7 linked regions of the Cricetulus griseus genome follow. The protein of the gene in region 1 purifies or fractionates together with the protein of each later gene. This does not show direct contact. Links are inferred from orthologs where the notes say so. Each region holds a gene or a part of one and is shown in the gene's direction. Other genes may lie near its edges.

The links.
Region 2: the proteins of Cbx5 (region 1) and Ahdc1 purify together in Homo sapiens (affinity purification with mass spectrometry; 3 studies listed by BioGRID and IntAct, with this or other methods). This does not show direct contact. The link is inferred for Cricetulus griseus from reciprocal best matches to the Homo sapiens genes CBX5 and AHDC1.
Region 3: the proteins of Cbx5 (region 1) and Senp7 purify together in Homo sapiens (affinity purification with mass spectrometry; 3 studies listed by BioGRID and IntAct, with this or other methods). This does not show direct contact. The link is inferred for Cricetulus griseus from reciprocal best matches to the Homo sapiens genes CBX5 and SENP7.
Region 4: the proteins of Cbx5 (region 1) and Chd4 purify together in Homo sapiens (affinity purification with mass spectrometry; 5 studies listed by BioGRID and IntAct, with this or other methods). This does not show direct contact. The link is inferred for Cricetulus griseus from reciprocal best matches to the Homo sapiens genes CBX5 and CHD4.
Region 5: the proteins of Cbx5 (region 1) and Daxx purify together in Homo sapiens (affinity purification with mass spectrometry; 3 studies listed by BioGRID and IntAct, with this or other methods). This does not show direct contact. The link is inferred for Cricetulus griseus from reciprocal best matches to the Homo sapiens genes CBX5 and DAXX.
Region 6: the proteins of Cbx5 (region 1) and Mbd1 purify together in Homo sapiens (affinity purification with western blotting; 3 studies listed by BioGRID and IntAct, with this or other methods). This does not show direct contact. The link is inferred for Cricetulus griseus from reciprocal best matches to the Homo sapiens genes CBX5 and MBD1.
Region 7: the proteins of Cbx5 (region 1) and Znf462 purify together in Homo sapiens (affinity purification with mass spectrometry; 3 studies listed by BioGRID and IntAct, counting the BioPlex papers as one, with this or other methods). This does not show direct contact. The link is inferred for Cricetulus griseus from reciprocal best matches to the Homo sapiens genes CBX5 and ZNF462.

Annotation. Positions count from the first base shown.
Region 1 is NC_048595.1:399,592,082-399,595,581, reverse strand, and holds part of Cbx5 (chromobox protein homolog 5), read left to right. Parts: intron 1-1,027; 5' UTR 1,028-1,069; coding exon 1,070-1,206; intron 1,207-3,500. UniProt on the Homo sapiens protein: Component of heterochromatin that recognizes and binds histone H3 tails methylated at 'Lys-9' (H3K9me), leading to epigenetic repression. In contrast, it is excluded from chromatin when 'Tyr-41' of histone H3 is phosphorylated (H3Y41ph).
Region 2 is NC_048595.1:20,200,461-20,204,684, reverse strand, and holds the start of Ahdc1 (AT-hook DNA-binding motif-containing protein 1), read left to right. Parts: upstream 1-1,424; 5' UTR 1,425-1,474; coding exon 1,475-1,565; intron 1,566-1,719; coding exon 1,720-4,224. UniProt on the Homo sapiens protein: Transcription factor required for the proper patterning of the epidermis, which plays a key role in early epithelial morphogenesis. Directly binds promoter and enhancer regions and acts by maintaining local enhancer-promoter chromatin architecture.
Region 3 is NC_048597.1:36,024,282-36,028,325, reverse strand, and holds the start of Senp7 (sentrin-specific protease 7), read left to right. Parts: upstream 1-1,244; 5' UTR 1,245-1,382; coding exon 1,383-1,422; intron 1,423-4,044. UniProt on the Homo sapiens protein: Protease that acts as a positive regulator of the cGAS-STING pathway by catalyzing desumoylation of CGAS. Desumoylation of CGAS promotes DNA-binding activity of CGAS, subsequent oligomerization and activation.
Region 4 is NC_048601.1:21,327,357-21,330,856, reverse strand, and holds part of Chd4 (chromodomain-helicase-DNA-binding protein 4), read left to right. Parts: intron 1-1,773; coding exon 1,774-1,895; intron 1,896-2,088; coding exon 2,089-2,304; intron 2,305-2,533; coding exon 2,534-2,652; intron 2,653-2,791; coding exon 2,792-3,033; intron 3,034-3,242; coding exon 3,243-3,370; intron 3,371-3,500. UniProt on the Homo sapiens protein: ATP-dependent chromatin-remodeling factor that binds and distorts nucleosomal DNA. Acts as a component of the histone deacetylase NuRD complex which participates in the remodeling of chromatin.
Region 5 is NW_023276806.1:232,095,284-232,098,271, reverse strand, and holds the end of Daxx (death domain-associated protein 6), read left to right. Parts: coding exon 1-20; intron 21-228; coding exon 229-439; intron 440-555; coding exon 556-964; intron 965-1,099; coding exon 1,100-1,301; intron 1,302-2,428; coding exon 2,429-2,488; downstream 2,489-2,988. UniProt on the Homo sapiens protein: Transcription corepressor known to repress transcriptional potential of several sumoylated transcription factors. Down-regulates basal and activated transcription.
Region 6 is NC_048595.1:165,545,061-165,548,560, reverse strand, and holds part of Mbd1 (methyl-CpG-binding domain protein 1), read left to right. Parts: intron 1-1,848; coding exon 1,849-1,963; intron 1,964-2,052; coding exon 2,053-2,222; intron 2,223-2,299; coding exon 2,300-2,382; intron 2,383-2,623; coding exon 2,624-2,664; intron 2,665-3,037; coding exon 3,038-3,184; intron 3,185-3,275; coding exon 3,276-3,404; intron 3,405-3,500. UniProt on the Homo sapiens protein: Transcriptional repressor that binds CpG islands in promoters where the DNA is methylated at position 5 of cytosine within CpG dinucleotides. Binding is abolished by the presence of 7-mG that is produced by DNA damage by methylmethanesulfonate (MMS).
Region 7 is NC_048595.1:88,915,039-88,919,145, reverse strand, and holds the start of Znf462 (zinc finger protein 462), read left to right. Parts: upstream 1-1,307; 5' UTR 1,308-1,569; intron 1,570-1,873; exon of another isoform or gene 1,874-2,284; intron 2,285-4,107. UniProt on the Homo sapiens protein: Zinc finger nuclear factor involved in transcription by regulating chromatin structure and organization. Involved in the pluripotency and differentiation of embryonic stem cells by regulating SOX2, POU5F1/OCT4, and NANOG.

The DNA of each region.
Region 1 (3,500 bases):
GATTATGGTTCAGCAGTGTGGGAATTTTTAAAACTAGATTCTCTGTTGAGCACCTCTGACTGCATATTTCTGAGCCTAATTTCCATTTGTGCTGCCTTGTCCTGGCTTTCCTGGGAGATGAATAGTCCTCTGTGTTCTGAGGAGGCTTCATGTTGATTCAGAATCTGGGGCCAGACTTCTTTCCCCTCCTCTTCCTTTGGCCCAAAGTCAACTTCAGTGAAGAGGCAAGGTACCTCCATAACTGTTTGGGTTAGTCGAGCCCTGGGAATTACAGACTAGTCCAATGACTAATTTTGAATTTTTTTCCCTCTGCCCCCTTTCCCTTCTATTCCCAAATGAGCTTGCTAAAAAGGAGGCTTAGTGTTTTTGAGCTGTCAGCCTTGTTTTTGTGAGCTGATGGACATGCTAAAGGGACAGACTCAAGTTGTTTAAGGGAAATGTACCAAGTCACTAGAAATGTGGTGAGAGATGGTTAACTGCCGTGTGTGTGTGTGTGTGTGTGTGTGTGTGTGTGTGTGTGTGTGTGTGTGTGTATGTACACGTACACGCTGAGAAGAGACTGACCAAAATGCTCAGAGTATGGAAAAGTTACTTTTGGGTGTTTTGTGGGGGAAGGTTTCTTTTTTTCTTTTTCTTCATTTTTATAAAAACATGTATTCGCCTCAGAGGAAAAGGATTTTTATTTTTTGGTTCCTTTAATTGAAGGTTTTCCACATTTTCCTTTGAGTTCCTGGCTCACAAGTAGATGCAGAAATGGTCATGAGTAGCATGTCATGCTACTTGGTTTTTTGAATATTAAAATTAAAGGAATGTGTCATCTAATTTGATCTCTTCAACTGAAGAGAAGTTGTTGTTAGGGAAATGTGGATTGACCCATTTTAAAATTAAATCTGTAGCCCTGTCTTAGAATAATTGTAGACCAAAAAGAAGGGTATGAGACTGACTAGTATTGTACCCTCTGTTCCATCAAGAAGTGGCAGTTATAACCCTCACGGATTGTAACCGTTTTATCTTTATCCCTTTTCAGGAACCTGGTGGCCTTAGTCCTTCAGGTGGATCAGCGTGCGACATGGGAAAGAAAACCAAGAGGACAGCTGACAGTTCTTCTTCCGAGGATGAGGAGGAGTATGTGGTGGAAAAGGTGTTAGACAGACGCATGGTTAAGGGGCAAGTGGAGTATCTGTTGAAGTGGAAAGGCTTTTCTGAGTAAGTGCTTTCTTTTTCAGGCATTAGGACTCTGTAGAGGTAGAAAAATTTACCCAGAGCCACTGTCTTTTTCCCATTTATACACTTTCATAAAAATCAAGAGAGTCAATAGACCACAATAGTCTCCCATTGTGGAGCTGATGTTTTAATAATCTTATATTTGAGGGGTAATTTAAGAAATTGGTTGGGAACACAAATTTGGGAGCCAGATAGTCTGGGACCAGATTCTTGTTCCACCCTTTAAGATATAGGTGGATGAACTTGGCTAATTTCTTTTATTTTTGTTATTTAAAAAATTCTTAGCTGGTTGGTGGCGTACACCTTTAATCCCAGCACTTGGGAGACAGGCAGATCTCTGTGAGTTTGAGGCCAACCTGGTCTACAGAGCTAATTCCAGGCCAGCTAGGGGTGTTATACAGTGAAATGCTGTTTTGAAACCAAAAAGAAAAAGAAAAGAAAAAAAAATATTTTCTTGCTGGGCTGGGTGATGATACACACCTTTATTCCCAGAAAGGGGGGGGCATGGGTTTGAGGCCAGACTGGTCTAAAGATAGTGTTCCGGGACTGTCAGGGCTACACAGAGAAACCCTGTCTCCGAAAACACACATAAATTTTTTTTTTTTTTTTTTTGTGTGTGTGTGTGTGTGTGAGTCTTTTACCTGCATGTATATCTGTATACTGCATTTGTGTTGTCTGGTGCCCACAGTGCAGAGAGCGCATCAGATCAGCTGGAACAGGAGTTGCATATGGTTGTGAGTGGCCATGTGAGTTTTGGGAGCCAAACCATGGTTCTCTGGGAGAGCAGGCAGTGCTCTTAAATACTGAGCTATTTCTTCGGTCCATTGTTTAATTTTATAATCTTTTCATTTTTTCCCCTTTAATAAAATAGGGACAAGAGGTGGGTGTAGTTTAATGGTAAAGTGCTTTCACCTAGCATACTCAGGGTTCTGGTTTGATTCTCAGGTATGCCAGAAAAAGAAAAGAAAAGAAACAGACAAAGACAGAGATAAGACATACATAGTACTTAGAGGTCTCAATGAGTGTGAGTAGACCACTTGTTATGGCAAGTGTGAGCATTTGAATTTAGATACTAGAACCCATGCAGAGTTAGGCACATGCATCTCTCCCTGTGGTCCCACACTGAGATTGAGACTGAAACAAGAGAATCCCTGGAAGCCTGAGGGGTAACTAGCCTGGCATACCTCGCAGTGAATAAGTTTAGAAGGTGGGGACCTACAACTGAGGTGGTCTCAGACTTCCAGTCATACACACCCACACTCATGCAGACAAACAGGAATATACACTTAATAGATACACATGTGCATATATAATAAACGATTTATGAAAAGAAGCCAAGGCTTTAATCCCAGCTCTCTGAGTCAAGTGGATCTCTGTGAGGTCCAGGTTAGTGCTGAAAGCATTGTACTACTATGCCCAGTTTATAACTAGCATTTCAATATAAGTGCTTTTTTGTTTGTTTAAATTTTTAATTTCTAAGGGGCAGGTCACTTTCACTTTCTTGTGTGAGTCAAAGTCTCTTGTTTTGGTTGTGAGCAGGATATCTGAGGCTAGCTTTCAGCCAGTTCTGTCTTTGCCCCCGCATCTTGCAGTAGGAAGACCAGCACATCCAGCTTTTTAGTTCCAGGGACTGAACTCTGGTCTTCAGGCTTGGATAGGAAGTGTATTTACCTACTGAGCCATTTTCACAGCCTGACATCACAACTTTATCTTTAGCAGAAGATATATAGCTCAGTAGTGGAGTGTTTGCCTAGTGTATATGAGGAATTGGGTTTTGTTCTCTTGGATTTTTGGTTTGGTTTGGTATTTTGTTTGTTTGTTTTTGTTTTCGAGTCAGAGTTTCACGGTCCTTGGCTGTCCTGGAACTAGCTCTGTAGACCAGACTGGCCTGGAACTCAGAGATCTGCCTGCCTTTGCCTCCCTAGTGCTGGGGATTGAAGGTGTTTGCTACCACCTGGCTGGGTTTTAATCCTCATTACCACAAAAAGCAAACAAAAACAAAATGCAATAAAAAACAACAGGTAGAAGTAAATTTGCTAAAATAGTCAATGTTTTGCCAGTACTTTAAAGTTAGGTCCCTTCAGGATCTATTGAAAGTTATTTCCTTTCATGATTTAACATTATTCTTATGGAGTACTGGGCATTTTAGGTAAGTTGATTCATGCATAACAGATTATTTAGCATCTGTTATACCAGAGTGCTGCTTTGTTTTTTGTTTTTTGTTTTTTTTTTTTGCTTCCAGACAGGGTTTCTCTGTATTGCTTTGGAGCCTGTCC
Region 2 (4,224 bases), about 380 Mb from region 1:
TACGTTCTTGTCACTTACTCCCTCAGCACCTCTGTTGGGTCTAGAAAAGAATAAGAAAAAACTTCATGAGAGCCAGCATGGTGGTGCATGTCTGTTACCCTCTGTCCATTGCCCTGTCCTGAAAAACAGGGCTGGTGAGATGGCTCAGTGGCTAAAAGCACTTGCCATTTGACCTGACAACGTGAGTTTAGTCCACGGGACCCACAAGGAGAGAACTGACTTCTGCAAGTTGTCCTTTGACCTCCATACATACATAAGCACATACACATACACACACACACACACACACACACACACACACACACACACACACACACACACACACACAATGTAACAAAATAATAGCTGAAGAGATGGCTTAGCAGTTAAGAGGATCCTGGTTCAGTTTTCAGCACCCACATGGTGGCTCATAGCCATCTATAACTCCAGTCTGGGCAATCTGATGTCCTCTTCTCACCTGGGTACCAGGGCATAAACGTGTGTGTGTGTGTGTGTGTGTGTGTGTGTGTGTGTGTGTGTGTGTGTGTGTGCATCTGTGCAGGCAAAACACTCAAACATGTAAAGTAAAAATAAGGGTGTTTTGTTTGTTTTTAATGTAATAAACATGAGCTGTGTCAGACTTGGGGAGTTTCGTGCATCAGGAGACAAACCTTTACTGAATGGTTTCTTTAAAAATGGGCAGGATAATAATTGATTTCTGTATGGTATGGAGGTTAGATGAGGTAATCCATTAAAGTGCTTAGCCTAGTGTTGGTAATAGAGAAAGTGTCCCCAAAGTACAGGCTTTTGTTGTCAGCTTCCTGGAGGTGGCTAGACCCTTGATGCTAGGTACTCTCTTCACTTTTCTTTGTAGCTCTTAGTCCACTAATTATTAAGTCACTTATGATTATCTGTTCAATGTCTGACTACCCAGGCCTTGTGCAAAGTAGATATTCCATAAATAATGAACATATGAATGGATGGATGGATATTACTTCATGTCTGAGCCACCACTTCTTCATCTGCAAAATGGGGTTATTAATAGCCCCTACCTCGCAGGATTGGTATGAAGAATTAAATGAAGCAATGCCTGGACAGCTTCCAGCCCAGTGCCTGGCGTGCAGTAGGTGCTCACTAAACCTGAGCTGCGGTGGTCCTTTCCAGGCGCTGTCCACACCCCAAGGCCTGGGCTCAGGCCGAAGTGGCCCCACAACACCCCCAGCTGACAACCAGCGACTGGCAGAGTCCCCAAGCACGGGGGCCCTCTGTTTACCAGGTCAGGCATGAAGGAGCACTGAGGGGGCTGGAAAGGGGTGGGGCTGTGTGCGGGTAGCTGGGGTTGAGTGTGGACCCTAAATCATGTGGAGAATTCAGATCTGTTACATGTCTTGTTGCCCACAGAGATAACCAGTGTGACAGCCCAGGCGGCAGAGCCGAGGGTGAGTGCACCTTGGGGAATGGGGATGAGAAGGAAAGATGCTAATGAGTCAGTTTCATGTGGTATGGCCATCTTGTCCTGCTGTTGGGCCTCTCTCTCCAAGACAGTGATGCTATCTATCCTCTTGGACCCTATAGACTATCGAAGTGTATGTATACCCGATTGAAGACCTGCAAGTGATTTGGGCTTGGGCCAGGGGCTGGAACACAGAGGAACAATGGAAGCATAGAGAAAGGGCTCATTAGGATGTGGGAAACCAAAGATGCTCAGTGAAGAACCTCCCACCTCTCCTTTTCTGGCAGGTTCTGGTCCTGGCTTCTCGCACCCTCATGTCAGCCCTGGCCCCGCCCGGTGGCCCTCGGAGGACAAGGTCAGGATGCGTGTGAAGCCCCAGGGCCTTGTGGTGACTTCCAGTGCAGTGTGCAGCTCTCCTGACTACCTCCGAGAGCCCAAGTACTACCCCGGTGGTCCCCCAACCCCCCGGCCCTTGCTTCCTACCCGACCTCCTGCCAGCCCACCTGACAAGGCCTTTTCTACCCACACCTTCTCTGAGAACCCACGCCCACCCCCACGCCGGGACCCTAGTACCCGGCGTCCACCAGTCCTTGCCAAAGGAGACGACCTGCTACCCCCTCGGGCAGCCCGGCCTGTCTCCCAGGCCCACTGTCCCACACCGGCCCCAGACAGCAACTCCCTCCACCACTGGGACAACGGCCGTGTGAACCTGCGTCCAGTGGTGCAGCTGATTGACATCATGAAGGACCTGACAAGGCTGTCCCAGGACCTGCAGCACAGTGGTGTGCATCTGGACTGTGGTGGGCTGAGACTGAGCCGCCCACCTGCCCCACCACCCGGTGACCTGCAGTACAGCTTCTTCTCCTCACCTAGCCTGGCCAACAGTATCCGAAGCCCTGAGGAGCGCGTCACACCTCACGCCAAGTCAGAGCGGCCCAGCCACCCCCTCTATGAACCTGAGCCTGAGCCCAGGGATAGTCCCCAGCCTGGCCAAGGCCATGGACCTGGAGCCACAGCTACAGCCACTGGTCTGCCCCCAGAGCCCGAGCCAGATGGGCCTGACTATTCCGAGCTAGCAGATGCCGATATCCTCAATGAACTGGCCTCCCTTACGTGTCCTGAGGCCCAGCTCCTGGAGGCTCAGGCCCTTGAGCCACCATCTCCGCAGCCGGAGCCACAGCTCCTAGACCCCCAGCCCCGCTTTCTAGACTCGCAGGCGCTAGAGCCTTTAGGTGAAGGTTTGGAGCTACCACCCCTGCAGCCTCTTGCTGATCCTCTGGGGCTGCCAAGCCTGACTCTGCAGGCCCTAGATACCCTACCTGACTCCTTGGAGTCCCAGCTCCTTGACCCCCAGGCCCTCGATCCCCTGCCCAAGTTGCTGGATGTCCCTGGTCGACGTCTAGAGCCCCAGCAGTCCCTGGGGCACTGCCAATTGGCTGAGCCCTTACGCCTAGACTTGTGCTCACCTCATGGTCCCCCTGGGCCTGAGGGCCACCCCAAGTACGCCTTGAGGCGAACTGATAGGCCAAAGATCCTGTGTCGACGGCGGAAAGCTGGAAGAGGGCGGAAGGCAGATTCAGGACCTGAAGGCCGCCTACTTCCCCTGCCCATGCCTACAGGGCTAGCAGCTGCCCTGACTGAGCCCCCGCCACTGCCACCACCTCCACCACCTCCTGCTCTGTCAGGCCCAGGCCCAGTTTCTGAGCTGGAGGCAGAGTCCTCTCAGACCCCAGTGGTCCCCACCCGCAAAGGCAAGTGCAGGGGTGTACGGCGCATGGTGGTGAAGATGGCCAAGATCCCTGTGTCCCTGGGGCGCAGGAATAAGACCACATACAAAGTTTCATCCTTGAGCAGCAGTCTGAGTGTGGAAGGCAAGGAGCTGGGCTTGCGGGTGTCGACAGAGCCCACCCCATTGCTGAAAATGAAGAACAATGGCCGGAATGTGGTGGTGGTCTTCCCGCCAGGTGAGATGCCCATTATCCTCAAGCGTAAGCGTGGCCGCCCTCCTAAGAACCTGCTGCTGGGTCCCGGCAAGCCGAAAGAGCCAGCAGTGGTAGCTGCTGAGGCTGCTACTGTCGCGGCGGCCACCTTGGCCATGCCAGAGGTGAAGAAACGGAGGCGACGAAAACAAAAGCTGGCATCTCCTCAGCCATCGTATGCAGCAGATGCCAATGACAGTAAGGCTGAGTACTCTGACGTCCTTGCCAAGCTGGCCTTTTTGAACCGCCAGAGCCAGTGTGCTGGGAGGTGCTCACCACCCCGCTGCTGGACTCCCAGTGAGCCTGAGTCAGTGCACCAGGCTCCAGACACCCAGAGCATCTCCCAATTCCTTCATCGTGTACAGGGCTTCCGGAGGCGAGGAGGCAAAACAGGAGGCTTTGGAGGCAGGGGTGGAGGTCATGCGGCCAAGGCAGCCCGCTGTTCCTTTAGTGACTTCTTTGAGGGCATTGGCAAGAAAAAGAAGGTGGTACCAGTGGCAGCTACTGGGGTTGTGGGTCCAGGTCTCACAGAGTTGGGGCACCCACGTAAAAGGGGCCGAGGGGAGATAGATGCTGTGACTGGGAAACCCAAGCGCAAGAGGCGGTCCCGAAAGAACGGGACTCTGTTCCCAGAGCAGGTGCCCAGTGGCCCAGGCTTTGGGGAGGCAGGTGCTGAGTGGGCTGGGGACAAGGGTGGTGGCTGGGCCCCTCACCATGGGCATCCAGGAGGGCAAGCTGGCCGAAACTGTGGGTTCCAAGGGACCGAGGCCCGGGCTTTTGCTTCCACTGGACTGGAGAGTGGGGCTTCAGGCC
Region 3 (4,044 bases), on another chromosome or scaffold:
TCATTTTAACTGAAGTGACTGGGCAAGGCAAACTTGCGTTTTCATCAAGAGGATGTGCTCAGAAGAGCAAGCATGCTGAGATTTTTATTTTTATTCTAACTCAGGTGGTGACCTGTGTCTTCTCTCATTGGTTGGGGTCTGACCTCACACTCTTAATTCTAGTAGCTCTTCTGAAGAGACTTGGTGCACAGGAAACGAAGAAGGCAGAAGGGAGTCATTGCCTCCTGCCATCAGTTCCCTGAAATACATCAAAGTTCTGGCTTCAGCTGGGTGGGAAGAGCATTTGTCTAAAAGTCTTACAAGGTGGGGGAGGAAAAAGATTTGAATTCCTTGCCTTTGTAGAGGGAACAGTGAAGAAACCACTGGCATGGCTGCTTCATGATAATTTTTTAAAATTGTGGGTAAGAAAGAAAATATCCATAGGCATCTGGAAGAGCCCAGAGCTGAGAGAAAAAGCAGCGGACTGGACATGGCCAGGGCTTTCTGTGAAGGAGAGAACAGTGGGAGAGATAGTGAGATAGCAACAGATAGCAGGCACAGCGGGGAAACCGTGGCGTTTTAAAGAATGGGGCTGTCGGACAGCCTGGGGGCTTAGCATAGGGCAGGAGGAGTAGGGGGAGAGGCCAGGAGGCTCTGGGTTTGGGTACTTGTGAATAGGGACTGTGCTGTAGGCTAGCGTGGACTTGATATTCAACCACAAGAAAGTATGTAAGTAGGTATGTATGTATGTGTCAATAGAGAGTCCTAAGCCCCATCTGTCAGGCAAGGGAAACGATTCAGAGGAATGCCGACTTTTATCTAACTGCTGGGCCAAGACTGTTATTTCTGGATATATGGACTTCCTGAGGCCTAAACTTCCTGAGTCCTAAACACAAGTTTTATAGTTTTTGATAGAAAAGACTTCATATTTGAATATTTCTTACATTGAACAATTATAAGAAAAACTACATTTTGCTGTTTTGTTCTAACTTTGAGTCGGCTTCTTGAGCACAAACAGCTCAAGAGAGACCACCGAGTAACTGGAGGGACTCGGTAGATTTAATTTTTGTCAACCGCAGCTTTAAGGTCAGCAGGTTAAAACCGTAAGCCAAGCCTCCCTTTCCCTTAGCGACCCTGGTGGTGAAACTGCCCCCTGCCAAGGCCTTAGAGGTGGCAGCCGCCCCCCTCCCCCGCCCCCCCAACAAGGCCCTCCCGGGAAGCGCTACCTCTCGCAGAGGTGGGAGGGGCAAGGGACTTCCGGTCGGAGGGAGGCGGCCGCTAGTGCGCAAGCGCGAGTCTCGTTCCTGCCTTTCTCTCTCCCCTCCCCCCTCCCTTCCCCAGCCTGAGGGGTCCTGAGGTGACAGCGCCTGGAAGCGCGACTGGAAGGGCCGGCGGAGGAGGAGATGGACAGGGCCAGGCCCGGGCGTCGGCGATCTTCGACCGGTGAGGAGGAGGGCTTGCGCGAGGGCCGAGCGGACCGTGCTGTCTGCGCGGCTGGCGGCCGCCGGTCGGCGCGGTGGGGAGGGAAGGAAGGAGGGAGGGGGGGAGGGAGCGGCGGGGGGCGCATAATGGAGAGCCCCGGAGCCGCGCGGGCGCGACCGCAGCTGTCGGGGCCGCCTCTGCTGCAGCCTGCCCCTTCTGCACCCCTCTGGCTCGCTCCCTCCTCCCGCGACACTCGGCTCGATTGTCTTCGGCCCACGGGTCTTCCCCGTTGGCTAGCGGCTGACCTGCCACGCCTTCCTCGTAATTTCACCCGCGTTCACGTTCGCTTCCGCCCACGGCGCACTCGATCTCACTTTCTTCCTGCGTCCCTCTGAACCCTTGCCTGGCCGACCCCGCCCCCGCCCGCCCCGCCGCTTCTCTCTCCCTCCCCCCCCCCCCGGCAGATAGGAGAGGCTGCCGTTCGCCCCTCTGTCCCTCAAGTAAATAAGCCTGGTGTCCCTCGTCGTCCCAGCAGGCTCGGTTAATAGCATTTTTCTTTTCCAGCCTCCTGCATCTTCCAAAAGTGATTCGAAAGGCCAAGGATTCGAAGCCGGGCTTTTGTTGTTGTTGTTTTAAATCTCAGCTCATTTTTGTTTGTAGTTGCTTCAAAGCTTGAAACTCAAGAACCTCTTAAGTTTTGTATAGAATTGACACGGAGCTCCGCCCAGTCACGCTATTGTTGTACACGTTATCTGTTAAGTGCGCCTCTTAAGTCCTTGAGTCAAGTCCCGTGTGCACAGAAATGCAGTCTAGTACATAAAACAACATCGGTGAATTCATTAGTATTATTATTTGTTGTTGTTGACAAAGGGTCTCCCTGTGTAACTCAGGATGGTGTCAAATTCTCAGTAACTCCCTTTCCCGAATGCTGGTGTTACAGGCTAGCTCAGCGCCTATCCGACCCCCCCTTTTTTTTTCCATACAGCTTTTCCCTGTGCAGCCCTGGCTGTCCTGCAACTCACTCGGTAGAGTAGACTGGCTTGGACACCGAGATCCATATGTCTCTCCCTCCCAGAGTGCTAGGATTAAAAGACATGAGCCACCACTGCCCGACTTTAGTCCAGCCCATTTAAGAAAATATTATTGTATTGTTCATTTTTGTAGAGATAGTGTTAACAGTTCTAAATCTATTTATGTATGCCCAGTGGCAATGTGTCTAAAATGTTTACTGCAGAATGTAAGGAGGTGAGCACAGATAGCACTTGGCTTAACAGAGTCGAAATCCACAGATCCCTTCATACTCGCTGGATCTTATCAATATTTTTGTCTCTTTTTCGGGGCGGGGGTGGGAGGGATGGTTGTCATCATGCAGCTTTGGAGCTCAGGAGTCTCCTACCTCAGTCTTCCCCCGTGCTGGGATTGTAGGTGTAAGTCACCATGCCTATTTTTTTTTCCCTGTGTATTTTAAATATACTAATTGTTCTTTGCCTTTGAAAGTATAATTATGCTCGAAAAACAAAGGTGTTTTTGTATGCATGTCTTCACTGACCAGTTTTTGTTTTGAGATTTCTGATCCTTGTGTTCAAATGAAATTGACTACTAGAAAAATGCAGTGTCTAATGTCATTTGGTCAGTGGCACTGCTGACCTTTAAGCCCAGCACTCCTCCAGAGGCAGAGGCAGGTGGATCTGTCTCTGTGAGCTTGAGGCCAGCCTGGTCTATAGAGGAGTTCCAGGACAGCCAAGACTATAATGTTTCAAAAAGAAAAAGAAAAAGAAAAATGCAATGTTTAGTTCTATTTGGGAGTTTTTTTGTTTTTTGTTTTTTTAAAGTTTTGTTTCTGTTTTTCTTTTTTCTTTTCTTTCTTTTTTTTTTTAAGATTTATTTATTTATTATGTGTACAGTGTTCTACCTGCATGTTGCCTGCAGGCCAGAGGAGGTCACCAGATCTCGAGCCACCATGTGGTTGCTGGGAATTGAACTCAGGACCTTTGGAAGAACAAGCAGTGCTCTTAACCACTGAGCCATCTCTCCAGCCCGGGTTTTTTTTTTTTTTTTTTTTTTTTTTAATGCAGAACTTTAGGCATAATCATAATCTCAATTCGATACAGTTTCTTCTCAATAAATATGATTCATCTTGACTTATCACATTTTATGTGTTAGTGTGTTATACAGCAAGTCTTTAGCCCTTTTTTTCCATTGGCAAAATCTATCCTTTACCTGGCTATTCATTTATTATTGTTTATTTGATGGATGTACTTTTGGAAAGAGAATTTGAGAATGAAGTTGCTAATCTGAAAACACTGGTATTTATGTTAGCTATAGCTCTAGGAAAGCCCTTTTGAGTGAAGTTTGAGATTAAGACCTCAAATTCATAAAAGACGTTGCTATTTATGTCACTGGAGAATTATTTCTTATGCCTTCTCTGGAAATTTTCTTTCTACGGAGCAGTGTGTAATCAGACCCATTCAGAGATCTACTATTTTCTAGCCATTGTTTTTCCAGTGTGCCTCTAGTTGTGTAATGTGAACATTAAAAAATAATCACCATAAGAATGGACTTTGGGAGCCCATTTCACATAGAGGGATACTTCCTCAGATTAGACACATGGAGGAGGGAGGGGAAGGCCTAGGCCCTATCCCA
Region 4 (3,500 bases), on another chromosome or scaffold:
ATTTCAGCGTGTGATTGCCTGAGGAGTTTGAGGGGTGCATGCGGACGGAGAGGCAGGCATTGCTTTGCCTCCATGTGCTTGTCCTTGTCTCTTCTGCTCTGTAGGCAAAGATGAAGAAGGGTGCAACTGATTGAGGGGTACTGTAAGGGCTGTGGGGGAGAAGCCTTTAAGAAAATGATCGTTTGGGAATGAGAGGGGTCTTCTAACCTGACTTGATACTGGAATGAGTGAAAATGGGAGGCCTATGGTGCTTGTACAGCCTTAGGGCCTGTCTAACTTTGCAAGGGCAGAACTGGAATCATTTCAGGGCTACTTTGGGGGCTCATGAGCTCATGTTTACCACTGTTCTCTTGGTCCTACTACTTTTTTGGGGTCCAGACATGAATTCCATATGTTGGGTAAGATTCTTGTTGGATGATAAGGGAGCTGAGCTTTGAGACTGGTTGTGGGCTCCATTCCTCAAGCTAAAGCTTTTGGATACCTTCAAGGAAAGAAGGCTATAGTTTGATAACCTCCATTGAGCCCTTAAGTCTTAGTTGTAATGTTTTAGGAAAATTATGATTGAGTGAGTAATGCAGTCCTTCAAATAGTATTGCTCTTCATGCTGTCTTGGCTTGCTTGCCTGGAGCATTAGGGTGACCTCTTACATACTGTGTCATCCTTGAGTAGGTATGAGAGATCATTGGCTTTGAACCTAGGGCCAGGTAATAACGTGAGAAGTCGTCTTTGAGGGTACTCTTTGCTCTGTGTACTTGTGTCAGCTCCACCCCCTCCCTGCCACTTCCTGTCTGTCTTATGTTGGCACTGGGTGCCCTGGGCTGCTTCCGCGGTCAGGAGCCATTTTCCTTCTCTTCAGTGGGTGAGGCACTCCCTTCTCTCTCCTCCCTTTCCTACTCCCCCCTTCTTGGGCGGGGGTGGCTTGGGAAGAGATGGAGGAGAGGGAGGAGGGAACTGGGAGCCAGTGTACGTCTGGTACAAAGAAAGCTGCCTCCTAGCCTTCTCCCTCTGTGCCCTTTCTACCTATCCTTGCCCAGGAGCCCCAGTGTTACCCAGGCTTTGTGTGTGCTTCTAGCCAGGGAAGGAGGTGGAGCCAGATGGGAGGGGGGTTGGGAAGGGGAGATGGTGACAGCTGGGCTGATTCCGGGGCCCCTAGGGAGAAGAGTCGCCTGACCCAGGAGAAAGCTGGAAAGAAACAGTAGGACTAGAGATGGAGAAAGGAAACTGGGAATGGGTATGAAGTTGAACTGGAAACTGAATCTGGGACTGGGGAGATTCTGGTGGTTCTGAGCAGTGATAATCGTGAAGGGGTTTGATAAGGGTGTGATTTCTTAGACCCTGAACCTGGTGTTTGATCTGGTGGTGTGCTGAGTTTGTGTTTAGTGCATTCTTCTAGTTAGGCTTTCCTCACCTTTCAGTCTCATGGGCTGTTTGGTGGCCACTTGTGGGAGGACCAGATCCAGTTCTCCTATTTGCTGCAATCCAGGCAGCTCCATTTACCACAGCTGGAGGTGACTAGAGTGCTGAGGAGAGGTAGGGACCTGGACAGCTGCCCGAGGTGGGCCTGCGCTAGCCTGGCAGGCCTGTTTCAGGGACCTCGCTCTCTTTGTCTGTTTGTGCTCTGGGTATCAGCTCCCTTCTGTGTAGTGTAGCAATTCTCTTTAGGGGATCTGGGACCAGAGGTTGGGAGATAGACTAACCCTCTACACTAGATCCTTACCTTTTGCCTTCTCCCCCCCCTTCCCCTGTCTGTCACACTTGGCCAAATGTGTGTAGAAAATGAAGAAGACCCAGAAGAGGATTTATCAGAAGCAGAGACTCCAAAGCTCAAAAAGAAGAAAAAGCCTAAGAAACCTCGAGACCCTAAAATCCCTAAGAGCAAGCGCCAAAAAAAGGAGGTGAGTGGGTGACTGAGTGTTCTGGGGAGTGAGAGGAAGGAGAAGGAGGTGCTCCAAGAAGGGTTGTAGGCCTGAGGGGAGTTTTTCCTTCTGGAGCTGTGGGTCAGGTCCTGGGATGAGCCTCAGGACTGTCCTGAGGTGAGCATGTGTGTAGCATGTGTGTCTGTCCCCTCTTCCCCCTTCCCTGCTCCAGCGTTTACTCTTATGCCGGCAGCTGGGGGACAGCTCTGGGGAGGGGCCAGAGTTTGTGGAGGAGGAGGAAGAGGTGGCTCTGCGCTCGGACAGTGAGGGCAGCGACTACACTCCTGGCAAGAAGAAGAAGAAGAAGCTTGGACCTAAGAAGGAGAAGAAGAGCAAGTCCAAGCGGAAGGAGGAGGAAGAAGAGGAGGACGATGACGATGATTCAAAGGTGCGAGGCCTCTGTCCTGTCAAGACCGCTGCCCTCTCCTCTTTCCTGTTAGCCCCTGAGCCTTGTTCCGATACGTTCCTGCCCTTCAGAGCACAATCTCTCCATGTAGTTTTGATTGTTTCCTCTTAGCTCTCTTTTACCTTGCTCTTGCAAGCCATAGTTTCAACTCACGTTCTCTTAGCAAGTGTGAGCAGTAGGAGACAGGTCCTGGATTGTGTTCCCTCTGCAGGAACCGAAATCATCTGCCCAGCTTTTGGAAGACTGGGGCATGGAAGACATTGACCATGTGTTCTCAGAGGAAGACTACCGTACTCTCACCAATTACAAGGCCTTCAGCCAGTTCGTCCGGTAAGTCAGGAGGATCTTAGGGACTGGGAAGGGAGGAGATTCCTTCTACAATTTCATCTTGTTTCCTTTTATCTTTTATTTTTATACACGGCCATCTTTCTTATTCTTGTCCCTCTTATTCTTGCCATCTCTCTATCAGACCCCTAATTGCTGCTAAAAACCCCAAGATTGCTGTCTCTAAGATGATGATGGTCTTGGGTGCAAAGTGGAGGGAATTCAGTACCAACAACCCCTTCAAGGGCAGCTCTGGGGCTTCAGTGGCGGCTGCGGCGGCAGCAGCTGTGGCTGTGGTGGAGAGCATGGTGACTGCTACTGAAGTTGCACCTCCCCCTCCCCCTGTGGAGGTGCCTATCCGCAAGGCCAAGACCAAGGAGGGCAAAGGTGAGATGGAACTTAATGAGGAGTTCAGGGTGGGCTTGGGAAGTCAAAAGACAGCCTAGGAATGCTGTATCACCCCTAAGGTAGGCAGCAGGATGCAGGAGTGAACCTCAGATTTAGAAGATAAGGCAGAGTAGAGCAAAACTTAGGTGAAGACTTTGTTCTCCCATCACTTGCCTTGTAATATACATTTGGCTGTGCACTGGCTTTAGGTCCCAATGCTCGAAGGAAGCCCAAAGGCAGCCCTCGCGTGCCTGATGCCAAGAAGCCCAAACCCAAGAAAGTAGCTCCTCTGAAAATCAAGCTGGGAGGCTTTGGCTCCAAGCGGAAGAGATCCTCGGTGAGAGCCTGGTTCATCCCAGTGGGGAAGGAGGGAGCTTCTGTTGGGTACATGAGAATGGGGTATTTTACTGCCTTAGGCAGGTGTGACTACGCTCCTTCTCTGCAATTCTTGCTGGGATTCTTCACCA
Region 5 (2,988 bases), on another chromosome or scaffold:
TCTCCTTGGATTCGGGTGAGGTAAGGACGGGTCAGCGCCTGTCAGAGAGATCTTGTCCTCCCCCTGCGCTGGCCCCCAGGGACTCGAGGGGGACCAATGGAGCAGTGTGTGGAAACAGTGAAAGCACCAAGTCCTTGGGGGTGGGGCCGTTTGTGGTCTTCTCACCTAGTGTTCCTGAGGTCCCCGGTTTGAGTCCTAGTCCTTACAAGAGACGCTTTTGTCCCCCAGGGTCCTAGTGGACTGGCATCCCAGGAGTGCCCTACTACCTCCAGGGCTGACACTGACGACGATGAGGAAAGTGAGGAGGAGGAGGAGGAGGAGGAGGAGGAGGAGGAGGAGGAGGAGGAGGAAGAGGTCACTGAAGATGAAGATGAGGACCTAGAACGACTGCAGCAAGATGAGGGGGGTGCCGGAGAGGAGGAGGGAGGAGGAGGAGCAGGTACACGTGTGAGCAGAGCACCCCTGCGGCCCTGCTGGCCTTCCCTCCCCCCCCTGCTCCTTTGCACAGCCCCCTCCTCCCGTTGCTTTTGCTACCCTCCCTTCTCTCTTTTGCAGACAGTGAAGGAGATAAGAGCCCCAGTAGAAGCAACTCACAAGGGGAGCAGCAAAACAAAGGACTGTCAGAGACAGCAGCGTCTCCAGACCCTCACAGCGTAGATGCTGAGAGCAGCGGGGAACAGCCCGAAGAGCCATTCCTAGAAGAAGAGAGTCCTTTGTCCCACAGTTTTCAGCTAGAGATTGAAGACAAGGATACCACCCCATGCCTTGAGGAGAAGGACATTTCCTCTTCTAGGAAACAGTCAGAAGATTCCCTCCCCACTGTCTTGGAAAACGGGGCAGATGTGGTCACCTCTACATCCTTCAATGGGCGTGTCTCTTCCCACACTTGGCAAGATTCTGGTCCCCCATGCAAGAGATCTCGGAAGGAAAAGAAGCTGCTGGATTCTGAACCATTAGAAAACAGGTAAGAGCAGGCGGATGGCAAGGAGCTGGGGCTTTCGGGTAGCAGACCTGAGGTCAGGGTCTTCTGGGAGATACTGGGCACTCTGCAGCCGCAGTTTCGGGTCCCCTTCCCGTCCATCTGTTCTCTTTGCCTTAGCAATGTAGAGAAGCAAAAGGCTCAGCAGGGAAATGGGAAGAATGTGTGGACCCCGCCTACTGGATCTTCCCCAGTGGCCGATTCCTCCACAAGGGTGGACTCTCCCAGCCATGGCCTGGTGACCAGCTCCCTCTGCAGCCCTTTTCCATCTCTGACGTCCCCAACCCCCCAGCCTCAGTCTCCCCAGCCTTGTAGTTATAAGGTAAGTTGGGCTGCTGTGTTTCCCTAACAATTCATTTCTTTATTTTTTTCCGAGACAGGGTTTCTTGGTATAGCTTTGGGTGGCTTTGGAGGCTGTCCTGGAACTTGCTTTGTGGACCAGGCTAGTCTTGAACTCACAGAGATCTCTGCCTCCCAAGTGTTGGGATTAAAGACATGTGCCACCACTGCCTGGCAACAATTCATTTCTTACTGTCCCCTCTCCATGGGGTATTGCACCTCACACATCTCTATTTATCCATCCTAGGTTTGTGTTGTGTGTGCGTGCGTGTGTGTGGTGTATGTGTGTTTAGGTTTATTTTGCACAACGTAGTAGTTTATGCCTTTAAGTCCACCACTCAGGAGGCAGAGACTGGCAGTTTTCTTTTTCTTTTCTTTTTTTTTTTTTTTTTTTTTTTTGATGGCTCCCTTTTTTTTAAAAAAAAAAAGATTTATTTGTGATGTAGTGTTCTGCCCGCATATATGCCTGCAGGCCAGAAGAGGGCACCAGATCTCATAACGGATGGTTGTGAGCCACCATATGGTTGCTGGGAATTGAACTCAGGACCTCTGGAGAGTGGGCAGTGCTCTTAAGCTCTGAGCCATCCCTCCAGCCCGAGACAGGCAGATTTCTATAAGTTCAAGGCCAACTGTCTTGTCTACACAATGAGTTCCAAGGTTACATAGTGTGAGACCCCTGCCTTAAAAAAAGAAAAGGTTTACTTATATGTGAAAAGGTGTTTCGTCTATGCATGTCTGTGTACCACATTTGTGCCTGGTGTTCAGTGGAGTCCAGAAGGGGCGCCTGGTCCTCAAGAACGGGGGTTACAGAAGGCAGCCAGCGAGCTGCGCGCCGTGTGAGTCTGGGTACCGAACCCAGGTCCTCTGCAAAGCAGCCAGTGCTCCTAGTGGCTGGCTCTTCTTCCAGACCTCCATCCTAGTTTGGTTTGTTCTTGAGATAGGGTCTTTCCATGTAGCCCTGGCTGTCCTGGCACTCTGTGGAGACCAGGCTGGCCCCAGACTCAGAGATCCGCCTGCCTCTGCCTCCTGAGTGCTGCTGCCGCCGCCGCCACCGCCGCCGGCTGGACCTGACTCCTCCCCTCTGCCTGTCCCCTTGTGACTTCTCTGCAGATGAGTGTGGCCACGCAGTGTGATCCCGAGGAGATCATTGTGCTCTCAGACTCTGATTAGCGGCCTCCTGCTCGCCCTGCCTCCACAATGTTTTGGATGGCCGCGGGCAGAAGACTGAGCAGAGGATGGACTGCGCTCCTCCCCTTTTGGTGGCGTGTCTTTTGACAACCAGATGTTTTAAGTTTTGCAAACACATTAATAAACAATGAATTTCTTTTCTTATTGTATTCTTGTGTTTACCTTGTGTCTCTGCTGTGACAGCCGCCGCCTGGTTCGGGGCTGGCCTGGGCACCTCGGGGGCGCCGTCCTCACCGCGATCCCGAGCCTCCCCCGGGCCCAGGCGAGAGCGGGCTTCCCGGGCCTCCCGGAGCCGCTTGGCTCAGCCTTGCAGCGGTTGAGTGAAAGGCCCGTGGGGGCCGGCTCCGTCCGGCTGGCTCGGCCAATCCCCAGGGAGGCGGGGCCTCGGGGTGCTGTCATTCGCCGGGGAGAGGGCGGTTAGATCCCGCGAGCCGGGGGTGGAGCCCGAGCGGCGGAAGCCGGTACCGGCCGTCAGCGGAGAG
Region 6 (3,500 bases), about 230 Mb from region 1:
AAGATACATATTTATCAGACTAGTAAATGGGTTTGTTAGTTTTGTGGATGCTGATAGGAAATGTGATACTTCCTGGGCCAGATATAAAAAAAATTTCTCACAGTAGTATCAGAGCCTAAAATACCTGTTTTTGGCATTTCTTAGAATCCCAATCCCCATAGGATGACATGAAGAGGGCTAAGTAGCATATATGCTGCACTGTATATAGGAAAGGCAGCCTGTGTATTTGAGTTTAGAAAATCAAGTATCAGTATGATAAGCATTGCTGTCCTTTCCCCTGGAAGGGAGGGGACCTTTTCAAAAGTTACCTGTTTTTACAAACAATGAGAAGGTAGTTTGTTTCAGGAGATAATGAATGCCTCTGATGATTCTTGCAGAAGTGAAAAGACCTAGAATGTCATCCCTCAACATTAGCTACTTATACTTTGTATTGAATATAATTTCATTTTCATGTTTTAAAAAATAGTTCTGTTATAAGCTTTTATGATCATGCATTTGGTATGTAATACATAACATTTGAGTACTGGGTACTTGTCTAGTGTTCTTGGAGCCTTGAGTTTGATTTCTAGTACTATATACACTTCTGAAAAACTGGCACTGGGGTGGTAGAAGCAGGAGGATCAGAAGTTCATCTTTCTTTACATATGAGTTTCAAAGCCCTTTGGGTTAAAATGATATCCCCATCTCAAAGCAAAACAAACCAAAATACATATTTATATCTTACTTACTTACTATTTTGTGTTGATTTTTACTCATATTTTCAACACTAATGGTGTTACATGTTGTAAGTATGTTTATGTGTCTTCATTATTATTTATTTTGGAGCAGGGTCTCTCTCTACTGAGCCCTGGGTATACTGGAACTGATTGTATAGACCAGGCTGGCCTTAAACTCAGAGATCCGCCCACCTGCCTTTGCCTCCCAAGTGCTGGGATTAAAGGCATGTGTACAGTGCCCTGCCTGCTTATGTGTCTATGCACAGTTACCAATAGTAATACAATCTGAGGAATACACAAACTCAGTGATATAGTACACTACACTATACACCTAAGCTAAATATTCATATAGTCATACATTGCTTATTGGTACTGATACATTCTGAGAACATGTTATAAATGATTTTTTCATGTTAAAATCATAGATTATAAAGCTAGGACGTGTGGTGTCATTAGAAAGTATAATCTTAGGGACTGTCATGTATATATAGTTGATTATTGATGAGAGCATTGTTGGATACCACATAACTGTATATGCTATGGAATATGCTCCTTTGCTGAATAAAAATCCCGAGATTAAATCAAACACTAGAGAGAATTAGGAAGTCAAGAGAAGCAATAATCATTTAATTATATCAGGGTACTACTAGTCTAACATTGCAGTTTCACAGTACATTAATTTTTTTCATATGTAGGACTCTAAAATGATAAAAATCACACTAAGTTCATAAACCAGTAATTGTAGTTATTATTAATCAAGTATGTACTGTGGTATTACACTAGGTTTGTTTACACTAACATCACTACAGATGCCTGTATAATGTTGTGTGTATAGTATTGCCAGATAATAGAATTTTCCCCTGTATTATAATTTTATGGATTTACTATAGAATATGTGATGGCATGGATCAAAATGAGGTTCACAGCTCTATTATTTATTAACATTTGTGTGCATGATGGTATTTATATTCATATTTTGTATTCCTGTTACTTGTATTGAGGTAGGACTTGGGTGGGGCTCACAGGCTGAATCCAGACTGCTTCTTGCATCTCACCAAATCTGTGGGGATGTTGTGTGGGTGGCATGACATTAGCTCCCTCTTGGTGCCAACTCATTGTGGTTCATTTTCAGCCCCACAGGAGACAAGATTCGAAGCAAAGTTGAGCTGACTCGATACCTAGGCCCCGCATGTGATCTTACCCTCTTTGACTTCAGACAAGGCATCTTGTGCTATCCAGCTCCCAAGGTACTTCACAATGTCAGTGTCCGTGCCAGGGCACCTGTGTCACGTGATACCCATGTACTAACCCACACTCTTCCTGTCTTCATCTCTAGACCCATCATCCCGTGACTGTCCCTAGCAAGCAGAAAAAGAAGCCTTCTAAACCATCCAAGGTCAAGAAACGTCAGGTTGGGCCTCAGAAGAGTGAGGTCAAGAAGGAGACTCCACAGGATGAGAATAAGGCTGGCACTGGCACAGCTCCAGCTTCATTATCTGCACCTGGGTGAGTGTTGGCTTAAGGTTAGCCAGGTGGGTGAGGCTTGGGATTGGGAGTACATAGCTCTGCTCTTTTAATTTTAGGTGCTGTGAGAATTGTGGAAACCACTTCTCATGGGATGGTGTCAAAAGGCAGAGGCTTAAGACATTGTGCAAAGACTGCCGAGGTAAGTCCCTAGGAATTAGGAGACAAACCACATATTAGATCCAGTGCCAGGCTAAGCTGGAGGTTATACAGTACATGTCAGGATAGGATAGCGGCTTTGGGCATATATGGAATCAGCCTGTGACCCTACTCTATTGGCATATGTAGAACAGTGAGAGTCAGGGTTAAGATAGTAGCTGAAGCCATATGTCTGTGTCTGTTGCTTCTTTTCCATTTCTCACCATTCTTCCTTCTTCCACCAGCACAGAGAATTGCCTTCAACCGAGAACAGAGAATGTTTAGGGTAAGAACAGTATATTTCCCATAGTCTATAAGAGAACAGGATGTCATAGGACTGATGGAGGGTTTAGGAGTCATGACAGGTCTTTTTTGTTTTTTTGTTTTTGTTGTTGTTTTTTAAATTGAGACCTGCTGTTGGTTAGTTTGTAGATGCAATAATGGTAATTAATGGGGTACTAGTAGACACAGGGATGAATTTAACAGAGCACTAGTAGAAGGAACAGTAGTGGCCTTGGTGTTGGTAAGCTAATCAGTAGTTTATTAGCTAGAGTAAAGAGGTTAACGGGAGACTAATAAGCATGGCTAACATTTGGAAGGATAGTGGTCCTTGAGTCCCCTGTCTAGGCTTCTAATCTTACCCCATACATTTCTGACAGAGAGTTGGCTGTGGAGAGTGTACAGCTTGCCTGGTAAAAGAAGACTGTGGGACTTGCTCTATCTGCCGCCTGCAGCTGCCCCATGATGTAGCCTCAGGACTCTTCTGCAAGTGTGAGCAGAGACGCTGCCTGCGGATTGTGGAGAAGGTGAGTCAGTCAGATGAGGTGTGCCAAGGCTCTCCTCAGTCCCTGGCCTTCAAGGCCCTGACCCCATACATCACAACTCCGGCCCCCACAGAGTCGAGGGTGTGGAGTGTGTCGGGGCTGTCAGACCCAAGAAGACTGTGGCCGCTGCCGAGTCTGCCTTCGCCCTTCCCGCCCTGGTGTCAAGCGCCAGTGGAGGTGTATGCAGCGGCGCTGCTTTTGGGTGAGTCAGGCTGAGAGACCAGTGCTGGTGGAGCAAAGGCTGGGCCAGTGCTCATTCTGCTATTAAATTTACCACCATGGCTGCTGTTGCTTCCGC
Region 7 (4,107 bases), about 310 Mb from region 1:
CTTTGAAAAAGAGATAGTTCAGAGTGATTTGGGGGGAAATTACACAAAATAAAAATTCAAGGTGTGATGCTTCAGCTTGGCTCTCTTGTCTTCAACATCATGACACCTTATCATTAGGAGCGACGATTGTTACTTTCCAAGCCTTTAGATGATCAGTCGGAAAGTGCAAACAACGCGGGGCGCGAGGGTGGAAAGTTATTTAAGTACTACACCCCCCCACACACACACCTTGGTGCGCCGTCAAAACATTTCACAAGTTCGGAAAAGAAAGTGGTGGCTTCTAGATAAAAATGATGGGCTCCTTCTTCTCCTTTTCGTATCAGAAGAGACATAAACCGCACAATGAGCCTTTATTTAGAGGGCGACGACTTAAAAATACATGCCAGTAATGGACAACTTGAGCCCTTCACTGGAGATACACTGCAAGCTGGAAAGGAATTAAAAAGCCCCACGTGGTTGATCTGGGTTTAGACTTGCAACCTTCAGTTCTTCATCTCTGTTCTTTGCAAAGATTGGCCTCTAGATGGATTCATTTGAGGGACCCTTTAGAGCCGGGGCTGGGCGCCTGGGGCAGGGCTGATGGTGCGAGCAGAGCAGGGTTCTCACTGGGGGCTTGCTCCTCTGGCCAGGGAGGTCGGGCGCCTCCGGGAGGCGAGCGCGCACGCCCGGAGCCCGGCGGTCGCGCTCCTCGCGCCGCCTTTTCCGCAGGTCTTTATTCATCTCATCTCTCTCTTCCCCTTCTCCTCCTCCTTTGCCTCCTTCTCCTCCTCTTCCTCCTCCTCCTCCACCACCACCACCACCACCACCTCCTCCTCCTCCTCCACCGCCACCTCCTCCTCTTGCATCTCACTGGCCTGGCTCTGTGTTGTTCAGAGTGACAAAGACAATGTCCCAGCCTTAACTTTGCAACCACCTTGCCTCCTTCTGGGGTTCAGCGCGGGAGGGGGGCGGGCAGCAGCCGCAGCTTCAGCATCTCCTCCAGCTTCTCCTGCGCTTCTCCAGCTCTTGGATAATTCTTCGTATTTCCCCCCCAGCCCTTTTCTCATTTCTTTCTTTCTTTCCCTTCCTCTCTCCTGCACGTTGTTGTTATTAGAAAGGCTTCGCGCACCCCCTGGTGCTCTGGCGTTTTGTGTGGCAGGAGAAGATTGTCTTCTCTCTTTCTGTCTTGCTTTCTCTCTCCCTCTGGTTGCTCATTATTCAGAGAGAGACACAGAGGGAGGGAGAGAGAGAGCGCGCGCGAGGGAGAGGGAGGAGAGGAGAGAGAAGAGCAGAGAGAGAGAGAGAGAGAGAGAGAGAGGGGAGAGAGAGAGAGAGTGAGAGGAGAGGGAGGGAGGGAGAGGGGAGAGAGACGGATATCTCAGGTCATCTGCAGCTGCAGCGAGTCTGAGGAGCCGTGGAAGGCAGGGAAGATGGCGATCCTCCATTGCTGAGACCCGGCAGAAGCACATGAGACTCCCAAACAACTTCCACAACAATAACCCGAGCAGGAAGAGGAGAAAGAGAAAGAGGATAAGGAGGCGGTGGGGCTGGAGAACCCGAAGCACCTCCCGGCGCCGGGACGCTTCTTCTGTAAGTTACTGCAATTAACCACCACCTCCGGGGTGGTCTGAGTGCTCCGGGGAGGAGAGCGCGGGGCGGTGGAGGCACAAACGCGCTCATTCATTCGGCCAAGGAGGGCTGGCGGCGCGGGGAGGAGAGGAAGTCCCCTGCATGGGCTGGCTATGAGGAGAGAGGAGAAGAAGCTAAAGAGAGGAGAGACCGAGGAGGAGGAGGAGAAGGAGGAGGAGGGGGAGGAGGGAGAGCAGCAGGGGGAGGAGGAAGAGGAGGAGAAGAAGCTAGGGAGGAAGAGGAGGAGGAAGAGGAGAAGGTGGTGGTGGTAGCTGTGGAGGTGGCTGTGCTTTTCCTGCTGGCTGCTCCTTCTGCCTTCTGCTGGGGGGGGGGAGCCCTGTGGCTTAATTAATTTCGTGTAGTTCTGTGAAGAGAAGAGAGAGAAATGAGATGAGTGAGAGGAGAGAGCTGGAGGCTTAGGACGGATGCTCCGAGTGTGGGGACAGGAGTAGGGACAGAGAAGGGGGGCGGAGGGCTGGAGGCCAGGAGAGACCTGAGCCCGAGCCAGAGGGAGCAAGCGAGGGGTCAGAGGAGGGAGCGCTCGGAGCGAGCGGCCCCGACCTGAGCGGGTTGACCTCTTTCTTTCTCTGTCCCTCTGCTTCCTTTCCCCTCCTCTGTCTGCCTGTCCCCCGCCCGATGGCAAAGCCGTGCGGATTGGCACCCCCCTCTTCCTCAGGTATTTGGCTCTCCTCTCTCTCTCTCCTCTCTCCTCTCCGAAGTTGGGATGCGGGGTCGGGATGTGTCGAGGGGGTGGCTGCAGCCGCCGCTACTGGGGAGGAGAGAGGCGACGAGCGGGGGGCCGCGGGCCGGGTGGGGGCGCAGGTTGAGGGACAGCTGAGGAGCTGTCTCCAGGCTGAAGGTTCAGAAGCGTCTGGTTGGAGGAGGACAACGGTTTCTGGAGAGGAGAAGCCATTACACACGCTTGGCTCCTCTGAGGCTGGGAGAAAGGAAGGCAGGGGCCTGGAGGGGGGGCGTCTCACTCCTGGTGCGGTTCCCAGGGGTCTGCCCTCCCTCCAGGCACGGGGGGGAAGCCGCAGCCGCCCCCCATTGGAGCAGCCCCTCTCTTTCCCTTTCTTTATCTCCCTGTCCTCCATTTGCAAGCTGTCTGCTTTGGTTCCAGTCCAGACTCCAAAACACAAAGCTCCTTCTCACGTTCATTCTCCAGGCTGTTCACCATTCCTGAAGGAACCCTGGTTTTCTTTTCATTGTGGCTCCTAACCTACAGAGAGGGAGGGGAAGAGGTTGCCTGGAGTTTCTTTTATATTCCTCCCCAACCTTAAAAAAAAAAGAAGAAGAGAGAAAAGAAAAGAAAAAAGTTTCATTTTTAAGCACGCGCCTGGGATGGGAAAAGACCAACCAGTTGGGGCTTTCTCCAGGGCTCCCGGGGGTTGTGTCTGAGTGTCTGTGTTGGCTGTTTGGCTTGGTTTGGTTTTGTTTCTGGAGGTTGCTTGCAGGTTTGGGGAGGGAATTGACTAGTTGGGTTGAGAGCTGGGAACTGAGTCAGGTAAGCCTTGTCATGCTGTAACTCCACCAGAAAATGGAGGAGAGCGGGCTTCCAGGAGACAAAGCTGGGATGAGAAGTGTTTATAAAATTATGGATGTCTCCATTTTGAAGCTCTCTTGGTGATGGCTGGAGGAAGAGGCATGCCTGCCTACTCCTTCTCCCTCTCCAGAGGGAGACCTTTTGGTGGTTCCTCGCTATCTATTCATTAAGCAAGGGAATGAGGGCTTTTAAGGGTTCCTCAGATTTTTCTCCTACCCAACGAGCGCTTTCACAAGTTACTGAGATGTTTGTTTCCATTTTAAAGTAAACTTTTGGAATTTTTTTCTCCTTTGGAGTGGACCTTAAGGGTTTTTGACCTCCTTAAGGAAAGACTAGGCAAAATCTAAAACATTTCCACTGAGATCTTCACACAACTTTCAGCTGCTCCAGGTCCCTGAATGTCTCCAGGAAATGTTACTCCCTCAGTGTGAGGGAGGTTGGTGGCCCTAGGCTGAGATTTTTCTTCCTGTCTTTGCTTTTCTCTTTTGAGTTCTGGGGCTTGGTTATCATTCTGATGCATTGCAAAGACTTTATTGTCTGGTTTAGGGTGATTTCTGCCAGAAAGAATAGAATATGTTCCTTCCAGATCTCAGAGGAACTCTCTCAGACTGGCAGCTTCTTCGGGTTCTACATGTCTCTTCAGGCTGCTCCATTTGTGTGTGAGGCCTTCCTAGCTCCTTTGTTCCCCCCTTCCCTTTCCTTCTGCTATTTTCCCCCGTGTTCTCCAGTACTGTAAGTCTTCAGAAATATCACCATGTCTTCTTAACAATGTCACTATGGAAACAAATGATGTCAGTTGAGAAAACCTTATGTCCAGGTATCTTAACCTTTTTAATTGGAAGATTTTATTAATCTTGTAGGAAGACATTTTGTGGGGATGGTTTGAAAATAGGAGCCAGTCCTACCTCAGCACACACACACACACACACACACACACACACACACTCACACACACA